4 linked regions of the Alligator mississippiensis genome follow. The protein of the gene in region 1 interacts with the protein of each later gene in a pairwise test. Links are inferred from orthologs where the notes say so. Each region holds a gene or a part of one and is shown in the gene's direction. Other genes may lie near its edges. The genes, in order: CCDC102B, BYSL, PSMA1 and ENKD1.

Region 1 (7,446 bases):
ATCCGGAGCTGAGTCGAGTTCAAGCACCTGTGTCACGTGCTTGAAGGGGAGTGGGGAACCAAGAAAAGAGATCTGATTACCTCTCCATATGCATAATGTTATATAAGTTGATTAACAGTGTCTAAGAATTCCTTTTTCTACAGTGTCTACCCAAGGTTCAAAATACATGTCAGAAGCGGATCCAGAGAGAGAAAGAGAGACGCAGAGGTCGTCTGATGTGTGACTCCACCATGACACCTATTGAACTCCTCGTCACTGAACTCTTTGTAACCAATATATTGATGTGTATGTGTGTTGGTTATTATTTGGTTCGGTCCGTAGAGGACAAACTACTGTCGTTGTATACTTTTGTACATAGTCATTTATCTTTAAAAAGGAGCGATAACTTGGATGGTGTGCACGTGCTTCAAGTCCCAACTGTGTCTTTGGCAAGGGGGCATGTCAGAGCTGATTTGAATCAGTGCCTCGACACAGTGGAACTTTCTAGCACAAGGCACGGTAAGGCAGGGGAAGTCTTGGCATGGTGAAGAGTTCCGACGTGGATAGAGTTCCCGCCAAGGAAATGCAGATTTGCATAATGTGATTGGCTGATGTTAAATTATTCCCATGTGGCGGCTGGCAATTGGCTCGCTAGCCATATAAAAGGTTAGGGGCGTTTCCGCCCTAGTTGGAGAACTCTGCGATTCCCCCTGGAGTGGAACTCCGGCAGCTTGATCACCTGCCAACGACTCCCCGTCGGCGAAGCCTTGCGACGTACCCTCCGTGTTGCATGCCCGAGTTAGACCCGAGCTACCCTGTCTACAAGAGCTCCTTGATTACCGATTAGAGAATAGAATTGTTGCAACTACGATTGCCTGCGCTGTATACGACTCTACAGTGTAAGTAAAGCTACCTCTGTTTTCCAATTGATACATGTCTCGTTTGTGCCTAATTCTGCTCCGGTGATAGAGAGTACCCATCTTCCCGTCACGGGATCGCAGCCGCAACCCCAGCTAGCGTTCCCAAGGACTCCTGATCCTCGATTCCCCCTTGGCCCCCACAGCTACAAAATGTCTCGGCCGGGCTGAGCCGACTCGAGGTGATTTAAAAACTGCTCGTTCGTCAGGGCGGGCTGGTGAATGGAGAGGCTGACAAGGCTTAATGGTTGTAAAAAACTTTACTTACGTCGCGGGTGGCTGCGACGGAAACGGTTTGGTCGTCTGGACAACAATGTGAGTTGCTTCAGCTGGTGAGGCCAATGCCAGTAAATTCGTCCGTAATTCAAGCCGGTGGAAAAAGGGTACGTCTGGGACTGCGTTCGGCGACGGGAAGAAGGATCGATAGGTGATCAGTCTATCGATCAGCTAGCCGCAAGTCGGATCTCTTTCGAGGCACTCTGCAGCGTGCTCAAAGCTCTTTGACTTGGGCGGAAGTCGCGCTAGTTTTTAAACGGCCAGCAAGCCAATTACCGGCCGCCACGTGTGAATAATTTAGCACTAGCCAATTACGGGGCACAAATTTACATCCGAATGGCAGGAACTCTTTGCACCATGCATTTCTGTGCTGCAAAGAGAATGCATCCTGCAAAAACAGCTGCAAAGTGGCGGGAACTCTCTCCTGCACGCGGGCTCTCTATGCAGCAAAAACCCTCGCTGTGCAAGAGACTCTCGTGTGTCAAGAAAATTCCATAGTGCCGAGGCACCAAACTCACTGGGTTATGACACAAAAGACCAAAGGAAACGTGTTATGGTGAGTGCTGGAAACATGAACTATGTCATGGAAATAGCATGCAATATGTTTCAAGTAATGTGCATAACTGTGTGGGGGCTTGTCCCTAATACATTAGTGATTATGGAGTGCCTACAGTATAGTCTAGTACCTCTTTTTTTTGGATATTGCGGTTTTTAGGGTGCCATTCTGTATGTGGATTGTGGCATCAAGAAAATTTATTTTAGTGTAGGAATATTACAGAGAAAGTTTTATGGAGGGGGGATAGTTGGAAACCATATATAAAAAAAACCCCCATGGAGAACCATATTTATGTTCACAAGACCAGCAAAAGAAGCTATAAGCTACAGTCAAGCCCTCAGGTGCTACTGTATCTGCTCCGAGGAAAATAGTAGTGATTCCTACTTGGGCAGCCTAAAATCTGTCATTATGCAAGGACCCTACAGTACCAAAATAGACTGTACCTTTGAAAGAAATACTCTGCAGTAACCTGCTACAATACAAAAAGAAACCCCACTGTTGCCACCTACCACCACACACTAGAACTGATTAGAAGAATCAAGAAACAACCACAGCTTCTGCTCAACAAAGATGAGACATTAGGGAAAATATTCCATGCCCCTCCACTCCTGGCTTTCAGAGAACCCAGTTCTCGCCCAGTTCACTGTCAGAGGCAAACTCCTCACTGTTCAACAGGCATCAAGTGGGACACAGCCTTAGCAATAAATGCTTAAACTGTCAACACACATCTCCGCTTCTACTATAATCAACACACCCCTCCGCCACAACAAACAATTCAGAATTCATGGAGAGACATATTTTCCCAAAATTACATTTCTGATTCAATGTACCAGATGCCCTCATGGAAATTACATGGATGAAACTAATCAACAGCTATGCATTGGAGTCTAGGGACAGACATTACACACACACCGGTTTAAACGATCAGAAACTTGTTTAAATTTGTAACACAACAGATGTTCAGTGCACATAAACCAGTTTGAAAATGGCTGAATCCGGTTTGAGATAAACCTGGTTGAACGTAGTATCAGACTTAACTGATTTGGCTCAAACTGGTTTAGGCAATGTCTGTCCCAGACCAGAGTGAACCTTCACGGGAAGCAGTATAAAGGACACAGACACACACATGTTGATAAGGAGCACATGTTTTATAGAACAAGCACTTCCTTTTTGACCTCACTATTCTCCTGCTCAAGGGATATCTACCAAAAACCTTTAAAAGGTGAGCTTGGGAACAGAAATTCATAAGCTGGCTGGACACTAGGAACTGAGGACTGAACACCAATATTGATTTTATAACACACTATAATCTACCTGATTCCTGAAATTATTCCTACACACTACAGGTGATAATGACCCTTTTCCTCTTGAAAGGTCTTGATCTCCCATCAATTGATCTTCTTTTCTTCTGCTAATTCTTTGTCTGCTACCCCTGGGAATTTCTCTCCCTCTCTAATTTCATAGATCTACCCACTGTGCCTAACAATTTCTGTGCTTGCTTTCTTCTTCAGACCTGAAGAAAAATGCTTTGCATTTAAAGGCTTATCTAATTCCAAATAAAGGAGCTGGTCCAATAAAATATATCACATAAAAAAGTCCTTGCCTCTCACATAACTCCTGGACCATTACAGTTACCACATGTCTCTAGCACTACCATGTCTTATTACATGACATACAAGAATGGATCCTAAATCTGTGGTTAGGGAGTTTTAGGCTAGGGGTTTTAGGCTTTATAACAAAGTTATTGAATTATGGCACAACCTAGGCCCTGAAATCATGGGATTTTTCAGGGTGCATGTGTGGAGTTTTCTTTTTAAATTAAAAACTTCAAATATTAAGTTTCTCAAGAGACTCATGACCTGTTACATCACATACATGTCTGACTTTATGCCCCTAAGAGTTCCAACTCCACCAGTGCTTAGAGGTTCCAGAAATTTGGCAACAGGGGAGCAGCAATTAATGCTGCCACTGCTCCTCTGCCACCAAATTCTTGGACCCATGGGGAGATTCATGGGCTGCATGACATGACCTCATGAGCCAGGTCTGGCCAATGGCCTGGAGGTTGATTACTACTGATGTAGTATATCACAAGTCTTTGTTGTTTTGCAGCCTTAATAAGTAGTTTGTTTGTCACAGGAAAACCCAAGGTGTGCTAGTACTATACAGCAGTGGTTCTCAACCTTTTTTTGTATCAGGACCCATTTGTAAACATTAATGGCCAGTCCCAACCCAGTGCCCCTCACACCCCAGCCCCCCACTGTGTGGGGCAGGTGGTGGATATGTGGGGCATGGGGGTTCACAAACACTGCTATACAAAAATGTAAGAGGGATTTTTTCCATCCCCAAGGTTATTCTTTTTTAAATCTGAAAGACACCAAAATAAATAAGTGGCCTTGTTTCATTTGAAGATGCTAATTCTGAAATGAATCATTGAAGTCAATGGTACACTTAGATTAGAATATTCTGAAATCTTTGAACAAATTGGGGTCATAATTTATAACCGACAATGAAAGAAGGGTTAGAAACACAAAGAGAAGCAATGTTTAGTAAACAATAATAAGCACAGTTTTAATTTTGAGTGAATGACCTGTATTTAAAAAAAATGTTGTGGCATTAGTTTTGATAAATCCTGACCAATGGGAATTGTTTTTCAAGTTACTGTGGAATGGCCTTAATGCTGCGAATAATCCTGTTGGCCAAGACCCCAGTGCTCTGCAGATGAGAAAAGGATGCAGGAAATTCTGTTGTTTACACATATGTCTGTAACACTGAGAAGCGAGAGCAGCCCAGCAAGCCTGAGGGTAAGGGGATTTAATATGCTTGCGAGTTTATGATTTAATTTTTTAATGTTCCTGTTGGGATAGAAGTTGTTGTCATACCCAGGGTGAAGCTGTAGAACAGCAGATGTGCATACCACCTGAAAAGATAATATGTCTGAAAAGAAATGTAATTTTTGAGTACACAACTAGTTTGAACTTTCCTTTCCTTTCCTTTCCAATTTGCCTCCGCTCGGTAAAGTTTATCCAGATATGTAAACTATACTTTGACTACTTAGATATAGTGTTTGCTTATCTAGACTAATCAGGGAAGATTTTAAAATCTTCAGAATATGTTAAGTGCTTTAGATTTTTATAAGTGATGATAACTTCTGAAAAATGAGTGTAAATATGTATTATTTGAAAGCTTCTACTGTCTTGGTGTGTATACGTGTATGTATAAAAGAATCAAAACTTGCTTTATTTTCTATTGCAATAGGAAGAGGTGGTGATGTTTTGGTCATTTTCCACAACCTCATACTGTACTGTACAGAACTTTGTCTCTGGAGTATAGTATTGTTTGAGTTTTGCTGCCGTGCTCATAAATTTCTGTTATTGTTAGCAGGAAGTTTTGTGGTCAGAAAGAATTTCTAATTTCAACAATGTAGATAGTGATAGTTATCTTAATTTCCTTCTGAAAAATACTTGAGTGCAGGCATGATTATGGACTAAGGGAAAAAACAGTGTTAGTCTTTTGCTTAGTTTTATTGCACAAGTGTAATGTAATAGGCTGGCACTACAGAAAGATATATAATTTGTCCACTCTTTGAAGGGGTGGATTCCCAGATGGAATGTGAATATGTGGAATATGTAGACCTATCCCTAGCCAGAGCTCCAAATTCACCAAATGATGTAGAACAGTCTAATAAACACATAGCAAATAGTTATAACAGAGTTTTTGTTCTTTTTTTAAAAATAGTAATGACCTGTCTTTCCATTCTCACTAATTTCATTACAGTTCCCCACATCATCAGTGTTTCTATAAATCAGCCTTGTTCTGTTAAGCATGTCAGAATATTGTTTATTTTGCATCTTCATAGATTTCTGCTGCAATTATTTGCCAGTGCACTGAAGATGCAAAACATTATATAAAAGCTAAGTATTATTAATTGGGCCAATTCTGTCTCATGCACTCAAACATTCCATTGAATTCTGTAGGAGTTTAGGCATGACATTTCAGTCCTTGAACCTAATCTTGCTTGCTTTTTTTGCATTTGTTAAATTCAGCCTGATATTTCCCTTAAAAATATAAAAAAGTTATGCTCTTAATTTCAGATTTGTAAAAGAAATGATTTATCAACATACATGGGCCCTAATCCAGCTGCTAGTACAATCAAAGCATTGCTATTGATTTTTGTAAATCAGAATAAATTAAAAGACTCAAAGGCTCCATCTTGTTTATCCTAATCTGCTAGTTGAATAATCAGATTAGTAAATTGATTAGTCATTATTGTTAAGACCTGCATGTATTCTTCAGCATTTCACATAACACAGCAAGAAACCTGCCCTACTTTTGTTGCACACAGAGGTCACAGTGAGACTGTTGCCACACAGAAGTTTCAGAGGTGGTTGTAAAGCACTGCTGGCCAATAGCAAGTTTTTAATGGCAGCTGCTCTCCACAAAAAATATTCTAGTACAATCTTGTTTCATGGTTCCTATATTTTCTGTTTTTCTTTGAGTTGTCCAGTAGAACTACTGCAACAAGCATGTATCCTCTTCCATTTAAATATTGCATTTTATACTTGCCCCTTTTCCTGAATAAAATGGTTATTGATCACTAGAAATAAATGAAAAACAGCTGGCAGGTTAGTACAATTTAATAATAGTGACAGAAGGACTTGACAAAAAAAAGTCTGTTATAAATCATTGGATCCTTTCATATCTCTTTATAAACAGGCTGTCCTGTAATTTGTAGACTTCATTTTGTGAATATGTTGAATTTGGTTTCATTTATTTTAACCGACTAGATTAAAAACAAAAACAAACAAAACAAACTTGAATTTTCCCAGCACCAGAAGAGGGAGCTATATGCTAAAAGATTCATATTGGGAGGGGGGGGGGGGGGAACAGGCAGTTATGTACCTCTGCTAGCTGTATGGTTAGAGAGAGCTGTGGTTTGAGTTTTTATTTTTTGTTTTCACTTTTTTTCTCTCAGCTCTGATTAACAGCAGAGCTGTGACACCTTTCTGACTGACACTGCCATGATTACTTCTATATAAAATGGTCCACAGAGTGGACTAAACAACATGACTTACCTAACCATAAATCTGCATATGCCTGGTTTAAGTTAAACCTGCTGGGTATATATCCATTCTGTAGAGGAAAATTTCTATGATGGTAGCAGAGATGTATTTTACTATCTTTACTTGAAACTATATATGTTATGGAAAAGTGGTTAAAAAGAACAGAAGAATCTGGGCAGGTCCTTCAAAATTTAAACATGCAGACACGTGCACACTTTTTCAAGAAGGATCCATAGAAATGGATACATAGAAATTTAAGGTTTTATCTTCTGATGTCATTATTTCTTTAAGTTTTAAGCCTCATTCTTCCTTCATTATCTTGGCCTCTGGTTCATGTCCTTTGCTTTTACTTGCTTCCTTCCCTAGCCCAGCAATTTCTGTTTCACTGAATACTTTAAATAGCAATACCAATATAACACTGCCACTATAAATTTATAAGGGTTTAATTGATCCCTTGACCTAACTGCATATCCTGTAATAGGAAATCCTTACTGCTCTTAGGTTTTTCCATATTGTTCTAAGCCAGGGGTTGCAAACATTATTTGGTTGTGGAAAGACCCAGCTCTTGGTAAAGCTGGACCAGTGCTAGTACCCAGATGCTCCTACTACCACTTCCCTCTACGACCAAGCTGAGACATGCCATGGGTGAAGTGCACGG
Region 2 (7,925 bases), on another chromosome or scaffold:
TCTCTCCTCAAACCCCTTTAGTTTTTTTGGACAGGGGAAAAAGGCCAGCTTCAAAGGCAATGTCTGATACTGGAAGCATTTTAGTCATGTGGTGCGTTTTTTAAAAAGTCATCACAAACCGCAATGGTTGACCCCTGCGCACCATAAACTCCTCTAGGAAAAAAAACGAGCAGTGCACACACTGCAACAAACCTCTAGAAAATGATGTTCTAGCCCAAAAGACGTTTATTTGCAAATCTTTTTCACTCCAGTTAAAATGGAAATTCTGTAACCTTAGCTGAGACGGCACTGCCAGCCCGGGATGTTATTGCTGGGGGGCACCAGGCCTGTGGGTAGTGTTAGTGGTGCAGGCTGGAGTCCAGGGATACCTCAGATATAGCCTCTCTGAGTCAGCAGTGCTCAATCTTTTGGCCACATGGGCCAGGTGAGTCACGTGGAGTGGGTCTGTGGGCCAGAATGGGCCCTGGGTGCCTGGTCTGGGCTCTGTGCCACCTCCCCTTGGCCCTATGCACCCGAATTGGCTGCCATACTGCCTCCCCTGCCCTACACACCTGATCTAGCACGCAGGGCCACACTATCCAGCCCACAGGGCTCCTCAAGGGTCTGGAAATTTGGCAGCAGGGTTGCTCCCCCACCACCAAATTTTTGGACCCGTGGGCAAGGTTCTTTGGGTAGATGTGATATATTTTATTAGGCCAACGGAGTAGTTGGAAAAAAGTTCTTGGCAAGCTTTTGGGCGCAATCACCCTTTGTTAAGTATAGGGAGTCTCTGCCTGACGAAGGGAGACTATGCCCAAAAGCTTGCCAAGAACTTTTTTCCAACTACTCAGTTGGTCTAATAAAAGATATCACATCTACTCAAAGAACCTTGCCTACCTAGGTCCTTGGACCAACACGGCTACAACCAAAAACCCAGAAACCTGGACCTGTGGGGAACTTTGTGGGCTGAATGACATGCCTCCACAGGCCAGAACTGGTCTACAGACCAGGGGGTCAAACACCCCTGCTCTAAGTTGATTTGAATGAAGTTGCTCTAAAACCACATATCTAGTAAGACTGTCTTAAAAACTGGTATTCTACAACAAGCCCTGGGGCAGACAGTGGAAGGGAGAAGGAGAACAGTGATGAATGGATCAATTCACACCTCGGCCCAGGTTGTATTCAACTCCAGTTATTTAAGAACTTGTTTTGATGAATGAGGTCACTTCACACCTCCGTGATTCTCAGCACAAGAAGGAAAAGTCTATGATCTCAATGCAGCTGTAAGCCATCCCTGTGGCAGCAAATACAGCTGTCCCTGGCCCAAGGGAGAGCAAGGGTGATGCATGCAGATAAACGGGAGAGTATAATGTGGCACATTTACACATTCCCTGCATCTGCTTATTGTAGAGCAGCTGTGCCTGAAGCATAATTGCAGTATACCCCAGGAGGTCTTGCCAGCCAGAAGAGACAGGCTGTGAGGCACGGCAGACATGTCCTTAGCTCTGCATTTCCTGGTTTTCCCAGGTTTAAGTACAGATGCATTCTGGAAGGTGTGAGGCACCCTAGCTCTGCAATAACAACTCTGTAGAGAAGTGAACAATACCATGCATTTACAATCACCTGTCTTCTAAGGCTCCTAAAGTGTTTCCAACCTGGAATTGAATCCTCCAACCCCATATGAGGTGGGTCAGGATTGCTATTTCATTTTAGAAGTGGGGGAAAAAACCACAGAGGCACAAAGATTAACCATACCTCACCCAGAATCACACCCAGGTCAGAGAACAGACCTCAGGTCTCTCTCCTACCTGGAGGGCAAAAGTTTTACCAGGAGTCAACAGCCACAAGAGTGAAAGCAGAGCTCCATGCCATCAGCCCTATCAGAATGGCCCACATTGTGGGGACATAGCTGCTAAAGCTGGGGCAGGCAAAGTCTGGTGGATCAAGCCTGCGGCAGACTTCATTTCCCAGCAGCCCCTGCCTGCATCACTGCAGCCAGTTTCCATGGAGACCCCGGCAGGGCAGGACTGTGACAGCATGGGGCCAGGGTTTCCACGGAAACTGGCCCCAGCAGCGCTGGCAGAGAGCGGGGCTGGGTAGGGAGCTGCTCCGGGGCCAGGATCTTGAGCCAGCGACAGCGTGGTCCAGGGCTGGGACAAAACTATGACCTGCTGCCCTTATGCCCTGGGCAGGGGCGTGCAGGCAGCAGATCGCGGCTCTGCCCTGGCTCTGGACCACGCTGTCACTGCTGAAAGATCCCAGCCCCGGAATAGCTCCCTGCCCAGCCATGTGCTCTGCCAGCGCTGCTGGGGCCAGTCTCCATGGAAACCCTGGCCCCGCGCTGTCAGGATGCCACTGCTGCTGGGTAATGGAGTCCAGCCACCAGCTGGATCCACAATTTTGCTCAGCCCTATGCTAATGGGACCACAGCAGCCAGAAGGTGGTACAGACCTGTCCATATAAGCCTTTGTTAGCTGTTAAATAGCAGCCTTCTGTCTGCCCAAGAGATGAATTCACTCTGCCGGCAAAAGAAAAAGATTTTGATTCCACATAGCAGCTTTGAGTGGGGGCATGCTTACAGGAGGTAGAACTGAATCCCGCTAGCAAGATTATACAGCATAGACCGGGCTTGTCTGACCAGCTCTTCCTTCCTACCGCTAGTTCAATCCAGTTCAGTAGCACCATGCTGGGGAGACGACTGGAGAGAAGAAAGGTATAAACAGGAGAAAGAAGAGGCCTCAGAGCTGGCTTTAGCACTCCCAGCTAGAACAATAAGAGGACAATAATTTAACTCATTACGAGAGCAGAGTTCAACCCAACCAGAGCTACCAGCTACTGCAGCCAATATAAGGTTCTCTGCAAAGCATTTCACTCAGATAGCGAAACGACAGGCTGACCTTGGTTGCCCATGGTGGAGGCAGCTGTGTGGTAGGTCTCACAGTCGACACAAAACGTTCCTTGTTTCTCTGCTCCGAGCAGCTCCAGTTTCCTTGTCAGGATTTCAACCGTCTGTTGGACACTCTTCCCCTCTGCCACTGGCATCTGAGATACACTATCGAAGAGGAGTTACAGAAAAGAGTCAATAACCATAGATACCGAGACACCTTAACCAAGGCAGAATGCAATACAGCCAGACAACAGCGTTTTGCATCTAGAACAGAGATTAAAAGCCGACACGTGATGACCATTTGCTTTGTAAAGCATTTGGACGGTACTGTCAGCATTACTTTCATCTATCTTATCCGCTCACACTAGTGATTCTCAACCAGGGTGCCAGGGTACCCTGGGGTACCCTGAGATCCTTCCACATAATGTTAGCACAGTTGGTTATACAAACCCAAAGATTTCAAACAGACTTCCATGGCTGAGGGCTTTCTGAGTGCTTTACATTGGAAAAACTGCTCTATTATTTTCCCATGTTCAAGAAATGAAAACTAAGAGGCGGCACTTTCTAACGGGCACCTCTAATTTATCCAGGGATGCCTTGAGTCTAAAAAGAATGAGAACTGCTGCTCTCGGCTTCTCAGGGCAAGGACGATGCTACTCAGTGCCTTGTTCATGTTTGTGCCTGAAGCATTACAGTACTAAACACGACTAGCAAATGTAACAAACACCTCTAAAGGCTGTAAAAGGACCGCTGTGATCATGTAATCTGGCTTTTTATGCAACACAGGTCACAGAACCTTACCCGGTAACTTCTACCTTGCTGAACGACAGCAGCAGTTCCCAAACTAGGGGCTGTGAGGCCTTGGCATGGGGTCTGCCGGTGGGCCACACACACTGCTAGGTCCCACATACTTTTCTCATGCTTCCAGTGAAACGTTTGATGATAAACCTGCACTGCTAGCTTGCGAGAGAAATGGAGGATGGACTGCTCCGTGAGTACAAAGCCCTGAGCTAGATAGCGGGTCTTTTACAAAGACGTCCTGTCTCAGGTTAGAGACAGGTCCACAGAAGAAACCCTCGCTTCCAAGAGCAGGCAGGCACACCCAAAAGCCCCACGTCTGGCATTTTCAGTCCACTCCATGTCAACCCTGCTGTTCTCCACAACCCAGAAAGCCCTACAGACAATGGTTATTTGCCCTGCACAAAGTGCCACAGCGACAGCCCGATGCCATTCCTGCCGCCCCTATAAACATAGGACGAGCATCGCAAGGAAGAAGCCTCGGCCAGGCAGGACTGCTTCGCACCCGGCGTCTGCCCTGTTCCGGTGACAACAGCAGACACCCAGAGCACGACTTTGTCCCCAAGGCCATTTTGCCTTTTTGCCAAGGGGACCCTGCGTCTCTGTTCTGATACAGCGGCACCTCCGTGCCCCTGACGCCTGGTGCCATCACAGCCCTGTATTTGCAGCTGCGACGCTGACCTGGCTTGATCCAGCCTGATCTCTTGTCAGTTCCTCTCAACCCTGTCTACCTCCCAGCCCCTTGCTCACCAGGGGCCTCATCCCACTCCTCACCGCCTGCTCCCGGTGGTGGTACCGCAGGCGGGTGCTGAGTGGGGCCTGGATCTTCAGACCCCTGTGCATTGAGGGGCAGCTCAGCCTGCACCCCTCCCCCCATGGGGGGATCTCACCTGCCCTCGCCCCTTTGCTCCCTGCAAGCCTCCCCCCAGCCCGCACACATCCGGGGCCCTACCAGGTGACCCCCATGCTGGGCCCAGCGCTCCCGGCCAGCCCCTGCCTACTCGGGATCCTCTTTGCAGGCGCGGGGACCGCCTCTCCCGAGCAGGAAGCGGAGTTTCTAGCCCAGCCCCGTCCTCTCCCGCTGGAAGGGGTGGGAAGCCGAGTAGGAAATGATGTCAGGCGGCCAGAAGTGGGTGGGGAGGCCGAGCTACGACGCTGGGAGGGGATGGAGGGGGGGCAGGAGACAGGGGCAACCCGCTGCTGATGCGGGCAAGCGCGGGTTCCTCCGCCGCTGATCCGGGGGCACGTGGGCAGCGGACAGACGAGCAGCTGCCCTTCACACGCGGTTCAGTAGCTCACACCCGTCCCAGCTCTGGCCTACACACATCAGCCCCGTCTGCCCCTTGTAAAAAAAAAAAAAAAAAAAGAATGAAAAAAGAAAAGAAAGTAAAAATTGGGCGGCGGCGCCTTTAAGAGCGAACGTTCGGACACGCCTGTCGCAATGGTCGGAACGTTGAGAGTCGCAACGTTCCATCCGCGCCTGCGCGCCGCGTTGCTCCCCTCCGCCCACGTGTGCGCGGATCGCCATGCCGAAGGCCAAGCGGGCCAAGGGGAGCGCGGGGCCGGGGGAGGCGGTGCGGAGCCTGCCTCTGGCCGAGCAGATCCTGCAGGGCCAGGCGGTGCGGCCCAGCCGGAGGACGAAGAAGCGCGGCGCGGCCGCGGAGGCGGAGGACGAGTATGTGGATGAGAAGCTGTCGCGAAAGATCCTGGAGCAGGCGCGGATCCAGCAGGAGGAGCTGGAGGCCGAGCACTGCCCGGGCCGGGGAGCCGAGCCGCCGAGGAAGACCACGGTGTTGGGTGAGCGGGGCGGGGGAGTAGCTGAGAAGAGATGTCAACCCGATCCCCTTCGATCCCCCCCACCCTGAGCCCCGAGGGCAGGTCGTGGCGCTGGCAGGGGCACGGTTCTGCCTTCCAGGGGAGAGGAGGGCAAACCCTACACCACCCCGCGCTGTCCCACACCTGCCTTCTCATCCCTTTTGATCCATGCTCTCTCCCTATAGTGTCTGATCACCTTCCAGAGACGTTTAGGGCTGGAAGGGACCTCGTGGGATCATCGGGTCCAGCCCGCTCTGCTCTGGCAGGAAAGACATTTTAGTCTTCCCACAAACGCAGGTCTCAGCCCCCTGTGGGTCTTGTCTTCCGAGCAGCACACTGCAGAAGTAGAGAAGTCCTGCAAGAAAGTCAGGACTGAATCCCTGCTTCTTGATGTCCAGTCCCTGGCTTTATTCCCTGGGTCCTTGAACGTGAAATTCTCCCTGCCCTAAATCACCGTAGGTTGTTCCTGTCTATTGATAAACAGCAGCTGACCTAGGGCAGGGATGGGATGAATTCCCACTGGGATTGATTGATCAAGTATGCTCCTTAAAGACAAAAGGGGTGAGCTGTGGTTTTATGTTCCATTTTAATAACATAAACAGGGAGTAGGGAAGGTCAGACATGGACCGGACACCCCTCAGTACTCCTGCTACAATAGAGATCGTTCCCTACGTCAGACTCCCTTCTAGCCAAGCTCTGTAGCAGCCTGCATACATGCTACTGCTTAGCTAGCACGTCAGCCTGTTTTTGTCACTGTAGATGGTATTGCTGTGCGGTCAAACCTAGCAGATTGAGCTGAATGGATGTCTTTCTGTCATACTAGTGATGTTTTGGACTAGGGCCGTTGCTAGGCCAGGATGCTGTAGCTGTGGGACAAACCACGTTCACTGCAAATACTGACAAAGAGCACTGGAAAGAAATTATTTAGATTCTACCTTGGGAACTTGCTTCATGTATATGTGGCCATTAAAAAGTATAGAATCATAGAACATTAAAGTTGAAAGGGACCTCAGGAGGTCATCTAATCCAGGCCCCTGCTCAGAGCAGCACCTGTCAACCTAAAGTAATCCTCGGACATGGGAAATCTGAAAACCTTTTATTTGCTGTTACCTGGAACATCTAAGCTAACTGAAAGACCAAAGAGAAATATTATATCTTGTATATTAAAGTTGATGGGACTGCTCTCATGTGTGATGTCAAAGGTGTGTGTGAATGCATGGACCTGTAAGCTCAGCCCCTGAGGCAGCTTTCCCTGTGTCTGTGGGCATCCATCCTCAAACAAGGTTTGGGGGGTAAAAAAAGTGTTTAAAAATAGGGCAGTGCTATTGCAAAGCTACAAGAAAAGCAGGGGGAACGCGGGTGCAGAGGTAGGACTGGGAGCTGCTTATAACTCAAATCATTAGAACTTCAGATTGGCAGGGTCTCTCTCAATAATGATGTTGCGGTTCAGATGTGCTCTGTTTAATCAAATGTGGGTGGCAGTCCTCACTGTGTCTTCAGCCAAGGCCTGGCAGTCTCTGGTGCCCATCCGCTTGGGCTATTGGACTTCTTCACATTGACCTCTCAAACTACTCATCACTATAGAAGAGGTGATGAGAGACTATGGTATGGAGAGCTAACTGGTACAGCACAGAGGTGCTTAGTTTTCCAATTTGTCCAAGCCTAACCGTGCCTTGTTTGGTTTAGGATCTGCATCTCGCGATGGGGATTCCGATGCAGAGGACGATGACGAGTGGCCCACACTGGAGAAAGCCACATCCATGGAGAAGGAGGAGTATTGTGAAGAGGTGACAGTGAACCCTGAGGATGAGAGAGCCATCGAGATGTTCATGAACACGAATCCACCGCTAAGGTAGAAGATGAGCCTCTGAGCTGCAGTGTGGCACTTCTGAGCAGCGGGCAGTATCTTCTGCCACCATGCGGCACTGGAATAGGGTTAACATTTCATGGAAGCGCATGGATGGGGGTGGCTGCCTAAAGTGCTGTTCCCCACCTGTCGTTGGGGAAACTGAGGCATGGAGAATTGTCTTGTTCAAGCTCATAAAGGAAGTCTGAGGGAGGGCTAGGAACAGAGCCCAGGAGTCCTGATGGCCCCTTTCTGGGTGCCAAGCAGCAGATAGTACTCCATTTTCGAGAACTGATGCATGTGTGGCACAAACTCCCTGTTCCTAAATACTGTGTGCAGTACCTGAGATCAGGGCCCAGTTGTTATTGGGCAGTAGGCAGTCCCAGCCCCAAGATCTGGCAGTCTGAAAAGTTAAGACATGTAAAGCATAGAGGGGGAAACAAGTACAGATTCAGGAACTGACTTGTCCATGGTCCACAGTAGCCCTGTGGCAGATCTTAGACTAGAACTGGCGTCTCCTGAAACCTAGTCTGGGGCTCAGTGCACTAGAGCAGGGGTGGTCAGCTTGTTGTGAGATGTGTAGCCTCTGTTTGTGGCAGG
Region 3 (7,766 bases), on another chromosome or scaffold:
CGCTGCTGTGATAGACAATGTAATGTGAGATGTTGTTGCTTGATAACTTCAGAGGGAAAATGGTTTATTGTTAAAAATAAACACACTACAAGAGGGGAATGATGATAAAAATATTTTGAGAGACAACCTGATTCTAGGAGCACACCATTTTAAAAATAAAGATAAACAGCACTGATTTAATAAGCCAGCTTTTCTATGTAATAATTGCCACCTAGCAAAAGACAGGGAAACTATACTTGGGAGCAAGTTCTTGTTAAGGAGAAATGATGAACTGATCAAATTTGCAGTTACTTTTTGTTGTAATGGAAGATGTTCCTGTCAGATATCATAAGCCCTATGATAGGGGTTTTCAACCTTTTTTGGTTGGGGTACCCCCGGTGGCCAGTCGAGAGGCAGGGAGTCCCCCAGTGGTCAGTTGATGTGCTGGGGCGGGGAGGGTGTCCCCTGGTGCAGCGCACACCAGCAATCCTGGAAGTGCCAGCGGTGAAACCGGAAGTGCTGGTGGCTTCTCCAAGCTGCTGCTGCTGCTTACCCCCTATTGAAAACCCCTGGCCTATGATATAGGTAGGAGAAAAGGAGGCATTAGAAGAGGAAATATGGCCAAGTCTTTTATTACAACGCAGCAATATTTTGTGTAGTCCTCCTTCAGAGGGGTAAACTCAGTGGAAGCAAGCAAACAACATGATTCTGGGGAAACATGGATTGAATGCACAAATCACAGTTTTAGGACAGAAAGTTTCAGTACATGAAGCAGACATAATGTTGTCTCTTAAAGGTGCCAGGTGTCATGTTAAAAGTCTATATAGCAAGACCACAAGAAAGCTTGGCATGTCAAATAAGCACTCTTCCATCTCATCACTACTTTCTAATATAAACAAAACACTTAAGCTATTTTCCTTTATATTTAAACTGCTGTTGACACACCTCCTGAGTCCATGGAGATGTACAGCACTTCTGTGGAGGGCTTGATTGTCTGCAGTGGAGACCAGGCATCTAAAATGGAATCCCTCCCTTAGAAGTATGGTAATTCTGGCCTTGGGAAAGCTTGACCCTGTTCCTTTGAAATTCACTCCACGCCTTGGACTGGCAGCCTGAGAGGGCATAAATTGATATTGCACAATGCCAGCAAACCAGGTTGCTATTTTACCAAGAATCTTATGTTTTAATAGAGCTGCCAGCTTTTGGAGACAAATAGTTATGTGAGAATCTAGCCCCACATTGAAGCACTCTTGTGCCCCACCAGCTCCTATGCAACACTAAGCCAGGTGGAGCAGCCCCAGGCTGTGGCAGGCTTCTCATGGGCCCCCTTCCAGCTGGGGCCGTTCTGACCCAGCTCAATGTGCTGCACTCCCAGAAACACTTGCAGACGCAGCACCCAGGAGCAATAAACTCTGGAGCAATAAGCTCCAGAGTTTATTCAAAAGCAATAATAGCATGTGTAGACATGCCCACTTTGCAATTTATCATGATTTCTGAAGACTAATAAGAGTGATTTTCAACCAGGGTGCCTTGAGATCCTTTCAGAGGTGATGTGGGATGTCATGCAATTTTAGCACCGTTAAGTGTGCAAACATGAAATATGAGATATACCCAACCATTTCAAACAAAAATCCACAGGGTTACGAACATTCTGGCTTATTGTGGTCTTTCTGATTGCTTTGCAATAGAAAAAAATTGTATTATTTTTCCATATTCAAAAAATGAGTAAAAACCCACAGCTGACAGTTTCTGACAGGTGCCTTGAGCTTAAAAAGGCTGAGAGCCACTGGACCAACCACTTTGGAGCACTTGGGGTTTGCAATGCTACAAAGAAGACATACAGCTGTGGAACCAGGGAGGATGCACTGGTGCAGTTGCACCCCACTTTGTTTACTGCTCTACCCAAAATTTTAAACCAATTCCTGGCAGTGACAGCAACATTTCTGTTCAGGCAGCAGTGGGAGCATCAACTGAATTCATGGCTCATTAAAATCTACCTGAGTCTGTCTCATTCAAGAGTTCTTCATTCCACAGGTGTTAATGACCTTCTCTCCTTTTTTAATGGTCTTGATGTTCTGCGAATCAAGCTATCCTTTCTTCTGCAATTCTGCTATTTGTTATCTGCTCCTGGTAATGTAGCTCCTATTTCACAGCTGTGCAGATTGTTTTAAGCACACTCCAGTGAACTTATATTTGTTTTTGCTTTGATGTTAAACTGAATAATATAGTCTTAAGCCCCTAGCATACTAGTAAGGCTTCTAGTTTCTTTATACATTGCAAAAAATATGTGCTTTGTTATATGGGATGATGCACTACATCATTTGCATTTAGCTTTTCAAAACTGTACATCTGCCCATGGAAACACATTAATGATAAGCACTGAAAACAAACCCTCTACAAAGATAAGCAAATACTACAGAACAGAGATGGTCAGAAGAAAGGCTTGATAAAAAACCCCCCAGAACACTAACATTTATTGGATCAGACCAAGTGTTCAGCTTGCTCAGTATCCTGCATCAAAGTGACCAGGAAAGAGTCTCTGGGTGGGAAGACTCCCAGGAACTGCGGGGCCATTTTTCTGTCTCTGGTCTGTTCGCATCTCTGGGCAGAGTTTCACTCTGGGCAGTGCTGAACTCATTCAAAGACCAGCGGGCACCATCTGGTGCTCTATGCTCAGCATGCCCCCACCTTGGTACACTCATTTTGAACTTCTGACCTTCACTTCTGACTCTGTTTTGTCTTTTAGTTGTCCCATGCAATAAGTGATGCGATTAGTGCGCTCCCTCAGCAACGGCGGGGGGGCTTATAGGTCTATTTGGTGGGCTCTGGCCCATGTTCTAGAATGGCATATCAAAAGGTCTGGGTCACACAGTGGTAGAGAGTGGATGCTGAAAGGGAAAGTGAACAAGGTACGACGAGGAACAGTGGAAAAACCCTTTTCTCATTTGCAGTCTCCAGCATTTAAGGTCTAAGAAGTTCTAATTTAGAGGCTGTATCCTTAACACCTATGCTTAGTAGCCACTGATGCCCCTTTCCTCCAAGAATCTGTCTGATCCTTTTTTTGAATCTGGTTACAGTCAGCTTCCACCATATCTGGTAGCAAGGATGTCCACACTTGAATGACATCCTGTGTGAAAAAGAACTTCCTTTGTTTAGTTTTAAACTTTGTTAACACTGGTTCTTCTCTTGTGTGAGACAGGAAATGATAAATCCTTATTTACTTCCTCATCATCATTTATTATGTTGTCAACCTTTCTCATGTCTCCCCTCAAGCATCTTTCCTCTGAACAGAATGGGCCTAACCTCTCTAGTCTCTCCTCACGTGGAAGCCCCTTCATACAGGTAATTATTCTTGTTGCCTTCTTGTGGACCATCTTTAATTCTTCTACACCCTTTTTGAGCCATGGGGGATGAGAACCTGGCACAACGTTCAAGGTGTGGCCACACCTCAGATGTATAAAAGCACATGAGGCTACTTTCTGTTTAGTTTAAAGTTCTTTTCTGAAAAATCTCTAGCATTTTGTTTGCTTTCTGGACAGCTGCTGAAGTGAGCTGCTCTGGGAGCTATGAAGGTGGATGAGGATACAGTGTCTTCACTCATGAGGAATCAGAACTCGTGGCAGAGGGGATATCTTTTATTAGACCAACTAGGTATTTGTAAAAAAAAATTATTTGCAACCTTTCAGGCACAGGCACTCTTCTTCAGGCATAGGAAACAGCAAAGACTGTAAAAGTTCTCCTAGGTAGAGATGAAAATTCATATTTCACAGGAAAGCTGAAGGTGTGATAAAAATCTCCTGTTTGGACAGTTCCTTTTATGCAGATTAGGCTCAGAGAAGTTGGAACAGTCTCTTTACCTCAAAGCTGTCTGGTGGCCAGCAGGATGTAGTCATATTTCCTTCTGGTTATGATGTTTCATATTTCACAGAAGAGTAGAAAGACAGAATACTTTTCTGGGCAGGAATTTCTTTTGTGGTGAGGTATCTCTAGGCTCTGTGAAAATGCAAATTACCTGGAACAAAGGCAGGAGCAGGGTGTCAGGTTTCAAGTGGGAAAACTTGCTTCTTTCTTGTAAAATTATTGTTTTCATTTGAAAAATCAGCTGAAATTCGTTATCTTTCATGTGTCAGGTATCCAGGTAGCAGCCATAGGGGTCTAGAGGCAAAAGGATTCCTGGATACAATACAACCTGGATACCTTTGGTCATGTGAGCACACACAACCCACCCTCCTGGGTGTCCTGCTTCACTTGCACTGGGCTTTACTGCAGTCCACCTATTGGAAAGAAAGAGGGGGAGAAGGTTTCAAGCGATGCTTCCCTGGCCCATGCTCAGGGGAGGGCCCCTCCTCCCTCCCGCCCCGCACGCTGCAACTTCCTTTTGAACTCGAAAGCTTGCTTAATAACTATTCTCCAACTACTTGGGTCGGTCTAATAAAAGATATCAAATTCACCCAAGGAACCTTGTTTGCTTATTAGAAGACTTTCTCATTAGCTAGACCCACTAGCCCTTCCACTCTGCGCACGCGCTGCTCTTGCAGGAGACCCCCCCTTACCCGCCCCTTCACTCTGCACGCGCTGCTCTTGCAGGAGACCCCCCTCCCCTTACCCGCCCCTTCACTCTGCGCACGCGCTGCTCTTGCGGGGGACTTCTTCCTCTCCAGTAAGCTGCAACCTCCTCTCCCCTCTGCGCATGCGTTCGCCTTGCAGGCCAGTCCCCCACAAGTCTCTGATCGATGATTCCTCCAGCGCTTGGCCCGGCCTGGGGAGGTGGTGGAAGTTGCCAGTCCAGACCTGTCGCTCGCTGAGCAGTGCTCGCAGCTGGCTGCCGGGGAGCTCACGCCGCAGTCGCGGGAAGAAAGATGGTGAGAGTCGGGCCCGGGGCCAGGGCCAGGGCCAGGGCCGGAGCAGGGCAGAGGGGGCGGGCGCGGGGCCGGGGGTCCGAGGCGCGCCCTCAGGCCGGGCCGGTGGGGGAGGGGCCGTGAGTAAGCACTTCCTCGTAGCACGTGAGGCCAGGCCAGGCCGGGCCTGGCCAGGGTGGGAGGGCAGGGCAGCTGCTGCCACCCCCCCCGCCAGCGCCTCCCGGCGGAGCGAGCCCAGCCCTGTGCCTGCTTTTGCTTTCGGGCCCGGCCTCGAGGCCCCCCCCCGCGTGCCGACGGGGCGGGAGCGGCTCCTCTGCAGTCCCGCGCGGCGCCCGGAGCCCTGTGGCGGCGCATGCCACCCCCCTTGTACCGCTGCGGTCCCCGGGGACCTGGTGCCCCGGGGCTGCAGCTGCCCCGCAGCCCCTCCCCTCGGGGGAGTGATGGGAGCCGAGGACTCCACCCCTCACACAAATAAAAGAAAAAACAGGTCTTTTTCATAGTCACAGACAGTGAGGGTTGGTAGGAGGTCATCTAGTCCCACCCCCCTGCTCAAGGCAGGACCAGCCCCAACTAGGTCATGCCAGCCAAGGCCTTGTCTAGCTGGGCCTTAAAACCTCCAAAGATAGAGAGTCCAGCACTTCTCTGGGTAGCCTGTTCCAGTGCTTTGCTACTATCTTCTTGAGAGTTTTTCCTGATATCTAACCTAAACTTCCCTTGCTTCCATTTAAGACCATTGCTCCTTGTTCTGTCATGTGCCACCACTGAGAACAGTCTCTTTCAAACCCCGCTTCAGGTAGTTGAAGGCTGCTATTAAATCTCCTCTCAGTCTTGTCTTCTCTAGACTAAAATAAGCCCAGTTCTCTCAGCCTCTCCTCAGAAGTCATGTGCCCCAGCCCTCAAACCATTTTCGTTGCCCTACACTGGACTCGCTCCAGTTTGTCTACATCCTTTCTCTAGCAGGCAGCCCAAAACAGTGCTCCAGGTGTGGCCTCACTGGTGCTGAATAAAGGGGAATAATCATTTCCCTCCATCTGTTGGCAACACTGTTACAGAGGCAGCCCAGTATGCCAGTAGCCTTCTTGGCAACAAGGGCTCAGTGCTGGCTCATATTCAGCTTATTGTCTACTGTAACCCCCAGGTCCTTTTTTGCAGAGCTGCTGGTTAGGATGTGTAGATGATGTAATGCTTATATTAGTGCTGAGAGAATCATACACTGCTTTTCCTTCAGCTGTTTGCTGCTTGGGCAAAGAAAAGACTTCATTGTGTAAGTGGGGTAGTGGTGCCTCTACAGTTGAATGCTTTACTGCTTCATAATTTCCTGTCACCTTAGTGCTTTAGTTTGGATGCAAGTTCACCAATCAAGTTAAACGTGCTACTTATCTGTCACTGTTTATCAAATGAGCATATTTCTGTCTAATTCTGGTTTCAGGTTAAAGAAAATGTTTTTAATATAATAGACATTTTTTTTCCTATCTGCATATATTCATACTAACAAGTTTTAATATATTCATTTCAGTTTCGCAACCAGTATGATAACGATGTTACAGTTTGGAGCCCTCAGGTAAAAAGATTTCAATTATGGTTATTTGCTTCCCATTTTTACTGGTTTCCTTTTTCTCTCTTGATGACAATTGCATCCAGGCATTCAGTGTCCAGCCCCTTTAGGATAGCTTGAAGAGTATGACAAGCTGATGTTGCTCCTTGAATGACTTTTGGGTGTTCTAAAGCACAGTATGAATAGGGCTGCCTATCACAGGTACTATATATCTACTTTTCCCATCCCTGCAGTATTTAAATCTCTCTCAAAATCCCAGGAACACCCCAGGAAAGTAAGTGAGTTATTAGAATCCGTGTTTTGCAAAGGGCACATAAGCTTCAGAGATGCTAAATGATGCATCCATGGTCACCCAGGAATTCTTGAGGAACAAGGAATTTAACCCATTTCTCCTTGGTTTTAGGTGTGTCCTCTAATGACTGGACTATTCTTCAGGTGTTTGCCCTAAAATACCAGAGGGCTCTTAAATTTACAGTTCCAAGAATAATGTCAATAACATTTTATTACAAGCTTTTTTTGTTATGTCATTATTAATTGGTGTTTTGCTTGTGTGCAGAGCATAAAGAATAATTAACATGTCTGCACAGGTCTGTTTGGCTCTCTAGGTGGATTACAGCAGGGGAGCTATTTCCTCTTCTGATTCAAAAAATGATATTTTTTTTTTTGTAATACTGATTAGTTACTTTATTGCATCTTCAACATTTAAATGGGTGTCTTTCCCCATTGTAGTACTCAAACACTAAAAACTATTTTTGTCGTTGAAACATGTAATTATGTAAATATAGAATAGTTTACATGGCAGCTATATTTGATTTTGCATGTTGTATGAAGTATTTATGAATCAAGAGCTAGAGTATGTAAATGATTTGAGATCTTGCCTTTCTGTAATACGGTTTATTCTACACTCCTCCAATATATTTTGCACAGTGCCAGTTTTTAGTTTTCCAAATACAAATATATTCTGGAACCTGCCCTGCACACTACGTGGAGTAGCACTCCATGTAATCATAGAAGCTTCATAATGGCACCATAGTTAAGCTTGTATTGAGATTTGCATTTATATTAAGAAATAAATTTGTCTATAGTCATTTGTCTATGACTTCAGAATGAGCGTTCTGAAAAATACATTGTACTCCATCTAGGGCACAGCCTCTTCGTGGGTGAACAGTGTAAACAGTGCCCCTTAACCACAGGGACAGTATGGGCTAAGTGCTTCATTAAGCCTGGCTATCTTGTTTCTCAGGCCTTCTGCTTCTAATGACAGCCCTGAACTTGACAGAACTAGTTATTTAGAAGACTTTAAATAGATGGCTACTAGTCAGTTTCACCAATTATGTTGTTACAGAGTGCAACTATATTACAAACTAGCCCCT
Region 4 (6,826 bases), on another chromosome or scaffold:
GTTTTTACACCTGTAGTTGTGTGTGTACAAATGATCTTAAGCACAAAAATGCCACCAGAATTGCAGGGCAGCTAAGACTGCATCAACAATTAAGGCCTGATTTGTGGGCCCAAGTGTCATTAATTCCTCTGCAAATAACCTCCCAGGGGAAAATAGAAGCTAGTATCAGAGCATTTGATCCTGAAAAGCCAGAGATATTGGCACGTGCTGTGAGTTAATCACATGGGATCTCATAGGAAGCTGGTTGCAGAACAGTCACAGCCTGTTGTGAACATCAAGAATCACTCAAGTTCCAGTCACACAATCTGGACTTGCTGCAAATGAGCCTCTTGCCTTTTGTTTCCTGCTATAATTTGCTGTGGCTGGAGAGCTGATACCTCCTGAGCTACTGCAGTTTAACTGGGAATGGGATTTCAGGGCCTCTAACCCTGCCTGATTGGAGTCCCCTTGCAGGCAAAAATCAAAATCTGTTCATCCTCTGTATCCATTTAAATGTTCTTCAGTAAAGGTTGCAGTTTTTCTCCTGTGGTTGTATCCTGAGCATATAGTTAGCCTCAGAGCTATCAAGCCATAAATATGTGACAGAGGCCTTAAAATGTGTCGGCAGGACTTACTCATAAACAAAAGACCCTGCAAAGACCAGAGGAACAGGAGGCTGGAGGAGGGGGGATATTTCTCCTGTTACAATGTTTTTGACAGTCTCAATGCAACCAACCATCCTGAATGTGGCAGAAGACTTCCAAATTTTGGGGCTGTGCCTTAGCATCCCTGATGACTTCAGGTAAAAACTGATTTATCCTGTTTCTGATTATCCCAGGCTTGCAGCTGATGACAATTAACTTGAATTAGCCATGACTGCTCAGGCAAAAAAATGTTATTTCAGATACACTGCAGGTACTTAGAAGTGGGACCATGGGCTTGTACACCTGTAGAATAAAAAGATTTCTCCTGGGATAAACATGACACCTGTTTTTCCCCACAGAAATCAGATTTCTTCAAGGACAAAGCCTTTTTGAGATCCTCAGATCCTACAGAATTACAAGCCCATTATTCAACTTTAAGTAACTGTGAAGTATCTGAGATAACTTTTCCCCAGAACAATCCTGGCTCATCCAAGGGACAAGCCTGAGAATATTTTTCCCCAGCATGATTTAGTGAATTTTAGTTACCAGACTGCAAGTGTAAAGGGCTATACCACTCCCAGTTTTTGACACTGGTCAATCAGAATGCAACTCAAATGCAGTGTCTGTTTTTAGTAGGCATCTATCTTGCAAAGCAATAGAATTATGCCGAGTGGAACATCAGCTTGCTGAAGGTAATCCTCACTTGAAAATAAAGTAAAACTGGAGTGACCCCTCCAGGGTGCAAAAGCTTGGGCAGTGATTATGGAGACACTGAGCTGTCTGCACACCAGTGTCCCCCTCTCAGCCTTGCTGGTTTAATCCAAAGGAGCAAAGGAGAACATCCAGAGAGTGGGTTTTCATAGATTTCTAGGGTTGGAAGGGACCTTGTAGATCGTCGAGTCCAACCCCCTGCTTTAGGCAGGAAAGAGCGCTGGGGTCAAAGAACCCCAGCTAGGTGCTTGTCCAGTCTTTTCTTGGACACCTCCAAGGTAGGGGACAGCACCACCTCCCTTGGAAGCCCATTCCGTATTTTGGTAACCCTCACCGTAAATAATTTCTTCCTGATATCCAATCCAAATCTACTCTCCTTTAGTTTGTGGCCATTATTTCTAGTAACCCCGAGGGGTACCCTGGTAAACAAAGTATCCCCTATTCCCTGCTGACCCGCCATGATGAGTTTGTAGACAGCCACGAGATCACCTCTCAGCCTTCTCTTTCGGAGGCTGAAGAGGTTCAGGTCCCTCAGTCTGTCTTCATAGGATCTTACACACAGGCCCTCAACCATGCGAGCTGCCCTTCTCTGAATCCTCTCAAAGTTATCCACATCCTTCCTGAAGTGCGGCACCCGAAACTGGATGCAGTACTCCAGCTGTGGCCTGACCAATGCCGCATGGAGAGGAAGCATCACCTCCCTAGACCTGCTCGTGATGCACCTGATAATGCAAGAGTGTGGTTAGCCTTACTTATTACCTCATCACACTGGCAACTCATGTTCATTTTTGCATCAACCAAGACTCCAAGATCCCTTTCCACTGTCGTGGTACTCAGAATGGTATCCCCCAGTCTATAGGTGTATTGGAGATTCTCGCTCCCCAGATGTAGCACCTTGCACTTATCCTTGTTAAACTGCATCCTATTCTGATGTGCCCACTTCCCCAGTCTATCCAAATCTGCCTGGATTCGCTCCCTGCCCTCCAGTGTATTTACTAAGCCCCGTAGTTTGGTGTTGTCTGCAAATTTGGACAGAATGCTTTCAATCTCCTCATCCGAATCACTGATGAAGATATTGAACAGCACTGGTCCAAGGACAGAGCCTTGGGGAACACCACTGCTCACATCTCTCCAGAGAGAAACCGCCTTATCCACCACCACTCTCTGGGTGCGTCCCATAAGCCAGTTTTTCACCCACCTTACTGTGAAAAAATCCGCATCATAGCTACTCATTTTGTCCATCTATTGGGGCTTCACTCCTAGACTGGCTGCTGATCAGAATTAAAGAGCCCAGTCTACCCTATAATGGATTGGACTTCAGTTCCACAACTTTTAGGTGGCATTTCCTCCACGGAGGGTAAGACTAGTACCCCCCTCTAAAGTACTCTTATGCACAAAGTCATTGGCACCCTAAAGATTGTTAGGTTGTTTATCTGCTGCCCAGCACTCAGTGTTAACAGTCGCAGGTAGTTCTGGCTACTGTATGTTATGGTAGCAGTTTTTACTTTCCCTGAAATAAGACTTTTGTCCTGATTTGGTTCCTTTCCACCCTAAGGACAATACCATGTTCAAGGAGCAGGTGCCTTCCCTCCCCTGCTGCAATGCCACATATCCTCAACCAGGTCACTCCTTTCTGGTGTAAAGCAAGGAAAAGTAGGCTACACATACACATCCCTTTGATCACCCTGGCACCTTGCTTCCTTTATGGGTTCAGAAGGGGTCTCAGTAAGCAGCTGTGTAGCAGGCTGGCAGTGCCAGCTGCCACGGTGCAGGTGGCCACAGATGGATCTGGGATTTTGAAAAGGTGGCATGGCTCATTGTCATGTGCAATACAGCACACATTTTTCTCTGGTTAACAAGAAGCTAGTGCCGTGGGTTGGCACTGTAGTATTCAGTTTAAAACGGAAGCAAGAACAAATATCACTATTGGAATGTCCATTAGTTTGCTCGGTTATGTATTATGTTAATAAAAAGACAACAAACTAGACATGAGGGCAAAGATGCTGCGCTGTTAGTTTGGTTGTTGTCACACTGACTGTACGTCTCATTTACTCAAGAGTTGTTAAAAGCTAGCACCTTGGGCCTCTCGACAACAGTGTCTCGGTAGGTCGGGGCAGTCGTGTCTATGCCCCACTTCTGCTTTGTGGCCAGAGCTAAAGCCCAAGCAGAGGCTGCAAAGCTGGGACAGGTGGGACGGGCTGCCATCGCGGCACAGGAGAAAGAAGCATTTCAACAGAAGAACCTCGAGACCTTTGAAGAGGAGAGAGGGGGGCACTAACTAACACGTGCGGAAGGGAGATATCAGCAGGACCCGAGGAGCTGATAAAGGCCCTGAGGCCGCTCGACCCCTCGGCGCTGCCTGAACAGAGCCGCGCCGCACCGCGCCGCGCCGCCAGGCCCCCGGGCGGGGCGGGGGGAACTGTAGGGGCCGCGAGCTGGGGTCGAGCCCCCCACGGGCCTAGCTGCGCATGCGCGGCGGTGGAGCCCGGCCGGACTCCATCTCCCAGCAGCCCCCGCGGCGCCGGAAGGGCCGGTTGCCTGGTGAGGGCTGCGTGGGGCTGCTCCGCCTTGTCCGCCCGCTCTCGGCAGGTGCGTGCGCGGCTCTCCCGGCCCCGGGCGCGTCCTGCTGTGGGGGTGGCGGCGGCGGCGGCGAGCCGGGGGGTCGCGTCAGGCTAGGCCAGGCCAGGCCAGGCCCGCCCGCCTGTTGGGGTTGCGTCAGGCCCCGTCCTCGGTGGGCCGGGCCGGGCCGGGCCGTGCTCCCCGCGCCCCTCGGCTCCGCCGGCGGGGCCCAGGGGCGGGGGTCGGGGGCGCTGAGCACCGACTGCTTTGGGGCAGCGGGACGGGGTGGGCGGAACCAGCCGGCTTCAGCGGCCTCCCCGGTGGGGCGGGGCGGGGCGGGGCGGGCGGCGGCAAAGGCGGCGGGAGCGGAGGCTGAGTTGAGCAGCGTGTTATACAGTAATTAAAGGAGAAAGGCCGGGGGAGCCGCCCTGGCTGCGCTTGCGGCTGCCTCTCCCTGGCTCCCTCCTGGCATTCAGAAGCGTGCCGTGACTCCTGTAGGTGCTGCAGCCAGGGGAGCAGCACAACAGAGTGGAGACAGCTTCGGTTTTTACAGCATCTGTCCTCTGCCAGCACCTCAAAGCACTGCACAGACAGCAGCAGGGAGTATAATGCTGAAATGGGGCAGTTTAGGGCAGCTATTTGACAGCACCAGTTGAGGGCAGGAAGTGAAATTGCACAGGGCACAGCCCGGCAGAGAGCCTGGAACAGCAGAGACTGTGACTAGAGCTGGGGCTAGCATCTGACCTTCAGAGGATGAAATAGGATCTTTATGGGCAGGAGTGGTTAGATCCCCAGCTTCTGGGTGTTTTGGAAAGGTGGTGGATACTGGTGGGTAGAGATCCTGTACCAGTGAGCAGTTGTACCTTAGGAATCCATTAGCGCCCGGTGCTGGGAGAGGGCAAGTATGAACGTTTGCTCGGTTTTCACTTGCATCAAATGGTCACGTGAAAATGTATAGCTGGTTCCTCCTGGTTTTAGCTGGCCAGTGCAGCTGTGGGCCTGTTGGGGTGTTCATGAACTCTGAGCCTTGTAGAGGAAGCCTCAGAGGTTAGCTGAAGCAACTAAATGTTTCTAATGCAGTTTGCTGGAACACCTCAGGGGCATTGTGGCAGTGCTGGTACTTGGCTAAGAGTTCAGTCTCAGGGACAGATTGCAACCTAATTACACTTAACCTGCCCAGTTGGGCCTGGGCTGGTCTATGTGCTAGATCTAGCAGTATGGGGCCAGTGGGCAGGACTGGTCTGGTGGGGTGTCACATGCAGCACATTCCTTGTGCTGGAGCAGCCCTTGTATTGTAGTTAGTGTCAGTTAGTCTTGCTCCAGGGGTTATGCTGCTGGAGGCTGTACATGGGCTGGATCAGGCACTGTGGGTGCTGCCTGTTGCCTTGGGGACTGGCTCACGGTATAAAGCTGCATCCCAGTGGACTGGCCCTGAACTCTGGCTCTGAGGCTAATCAGGATTGGGCTCCAGGCTATCTGTGTGCAGGGCTGTGTGCAGTACATGCCCCATACCAGCTCTGTGTGGCAAGCAGTACCTCTGGTGCTGTCTATCTGGCTCACCAGAGGTAACACAGTCTTTGGAGTGGGGCTGGCATATGGTGTATGGGCTAGACCCAGTGCCATGGGTGCTGCTTCTTGCACTGGGGGCTAGCACAGGGCTTGAGCTGCATGTGGTACCCTGCTGAATAGCCTGTCCTGCTGGCTCCAGCACAACCTGATCCAGACTGGTCCCAAAGCTAGTGCACAGGGTTGGCCCAGCAAGGATACCTTATACAACTCATGCCCTGAACTGACCCCCTGTGCTGCAAACAGTGCCTGCAGTGTTGGATCTACCCCTCACACTGGACTGGCTCCATGTGCTGCATGCAGGGTTAATTGGAGACTCGCAGGCTGAATCTTTTGTGGCTCCATGGGCCAGATCCGGCCCATGGGCCGTGTTTGATGACCCTGGTGTAGGGCATCTGGCTGATCTCTCCAGTGGCAGGGTTTTAGCCTTTCAGGACTTCAGTAGATGTACGTTTCTTGCACCCTGAATGTCTGGAGTGGAGATAATCACACCTGTGTAATGTCCAGCTTGTCTGAGCTGCATGGGACAAGTGCTAGTCATTTAGGCTGTGAACGATGCTCCAGAGGTTGAATCCTCTGGCTGCTTCCTTCCTTTCCTTGTCTGTGAGATAAAAGGGCCCTGAGAAATGCTATCTTTGGTCCTCAGTGGGGAGCTGCAATGGGAACCCACAAAAAGCCAACCCCTCCCCTCATTTCTGTTTGAGATGCGGCCAGTGGACAGATGAAGACAAAGCATATGTTGGAATCTGTAGCATCTGATCTAGTGGAGAGCTGTATGCTGGGTCCCACAATCTCTGCATGGGAAGGATCCTTGGGGCAGAGCAGAGGGAGGCTGCTTGCTATGCTGTGGCCAAGCCTGTGCTGTGCTGTCCTGCCTGTTCTGGCCCAGGAACACAACTCCCTTGTCCTTGGAGCGTTAGGAAGGTCACACCTACATCCTCACCCTCTCTTTAAACAGGTATCGGTCTTGGTCCCTGCCTGGTATCCCAGATGAAAGTCCCATTTGCCTTGTGTTCTGGGCTATTGCTGAAGGGTATTCTGCCTCTTGGAAAGAGCATATGAGCTACCTTTGCTCCTAACAGTTTGTGTGTGAAGGCCAGCCCAGTGTATAGGGAAAAGACCTGAACACACAAGTCACCAGCATAACTGGTGTTAATTGGCCCCTCTGTCAGCAGAGAGGCAGGAGAGTAAACAGGCCTTGAAGGCTGATGTTTGAGGGCAAGGCAGAGGAGACCCTCTGGGAACAGAATATGGTTTGCAGTCTCTGTGGCTACCAGGAGCTTCTCATTTGCTTTGGGACCCATGGAGAGTGTCAGTCTATCCTGTTCCTATCTGCAGTGTGGGCCAAGGGGAATGTACACATTAAG

The links.
Region 2: the proteins of CCDC102B (region 1) and BYSL interact in binary tests that used the Homo sapiens proteins (3 or more experiments, as listed by UniProt). The two-hybrid records come from large-scale screens. The link is inferred for Alligator mississippiensis from reciprocal best matches to the Homo sapiens genes CCDC102B and BYSL.
Region 3: the proteins of CCDC102B (region 1) and PSMA1 interact in binary tests that used the Homo sapiens proteins (3 or more experiments, as listed by UniProt). The two-hybrid records come from large-scale screens. The link is inferred for Alligator mississippiensis from reciprocal best matches to the Homo sapiens genes CCDC102B and PSMA1.
Region 4: the proteins of CCDC102B (region 1) and ENKD1 interact in binary tests that used the Homo sapiens proteins (3 or more experiments, as listed by UniProt). The two-hybrid records come from large-scale screens. The link is inferred for Alligator mississippiensis from reciprocal best matches to the Homo sapiens genes CCDC102B and ENKD1.

Annotation. Positions count from the first base shown.
Region 1 is NC_081826.1:103,259,887-103,267,332, forward strand, and holds the start of CCDC102B (coiled-coil domain-containing protein 102B), read left to right. Parts: upstream 1-4,427; 5' UTR 4,428-4,529; intron 4,530-7,446. UniProt on the Homo sapiens protein: During interphase, forms fibers at the proximal ends of centrioles to maintain centrosome cohesion. During mitosis, dissociates from the centrosome following phosphorylation to allow centrosome separation. Contributes to CROCC/rootletin filament formation.
Region 2 is NC_081837.1:38,994,430-39,002,354, forward strand, and holds the start of BYSL (bystin), read left to right. Parts: upstream 1-4,916; 5' UTR 4,917-5,190; coding exon 5,191-5,461; intron 5,462-7,165; coding exon 7,166-7,331; intron 7,332-7,925. Other genes in the region: MED20 (mediator of RNA polymerase II transcription subunit 20), read right to left, coding at 2,877-3,031, 4,617-4,630. UniProt on the Homo sapiens protein: Required for processing of 20S pre-rRNA precursor and biogenesis of 40S ribosomal subunits. May be required for trophinin-dependent regulation of cell adhesion during implantation of human embryos.
Region 3 is NC_081825.1:195,497,272-195,505,037, forward strand, and holds the start of PSMA1 (proteasome subunit alpha type-1), read left to right. Parts: upstream 1-4,748; 5' UTR 4,749-4,838; coding exon 4,839-4,841; intron 4,842-6,354; coding exon 6,355-6,399; intron 6,400-7,766. UniProt on the Homo sapiens protein: Component of the 20S core proteasome complex involved in the proteolytic degradation of most intracellular proteins. This complex plays numerous essential roles within the cell by associating with different regulatory particles.
Region 4 is NC_081833.1:34,730,917-34,737,742, forward strand, and holds the start of ENKD1 (enkurin domain-containing protein 1), read left to right. Parts: upstream 1-3,818; 5' UTR 3,819-3,923; intron 3,924-4,307; exon of another isoform or gene 4,308-6,417; intron 6,418-6,462; exon of another isoform or gene 6,463-6,826. UniProt on the Homo sapiens protein: Microtubule-binding protein which regulates microtubule organization and stability. Promotes the stability of astral microtubules and facilitates the proper orientation of the mitotic spindle.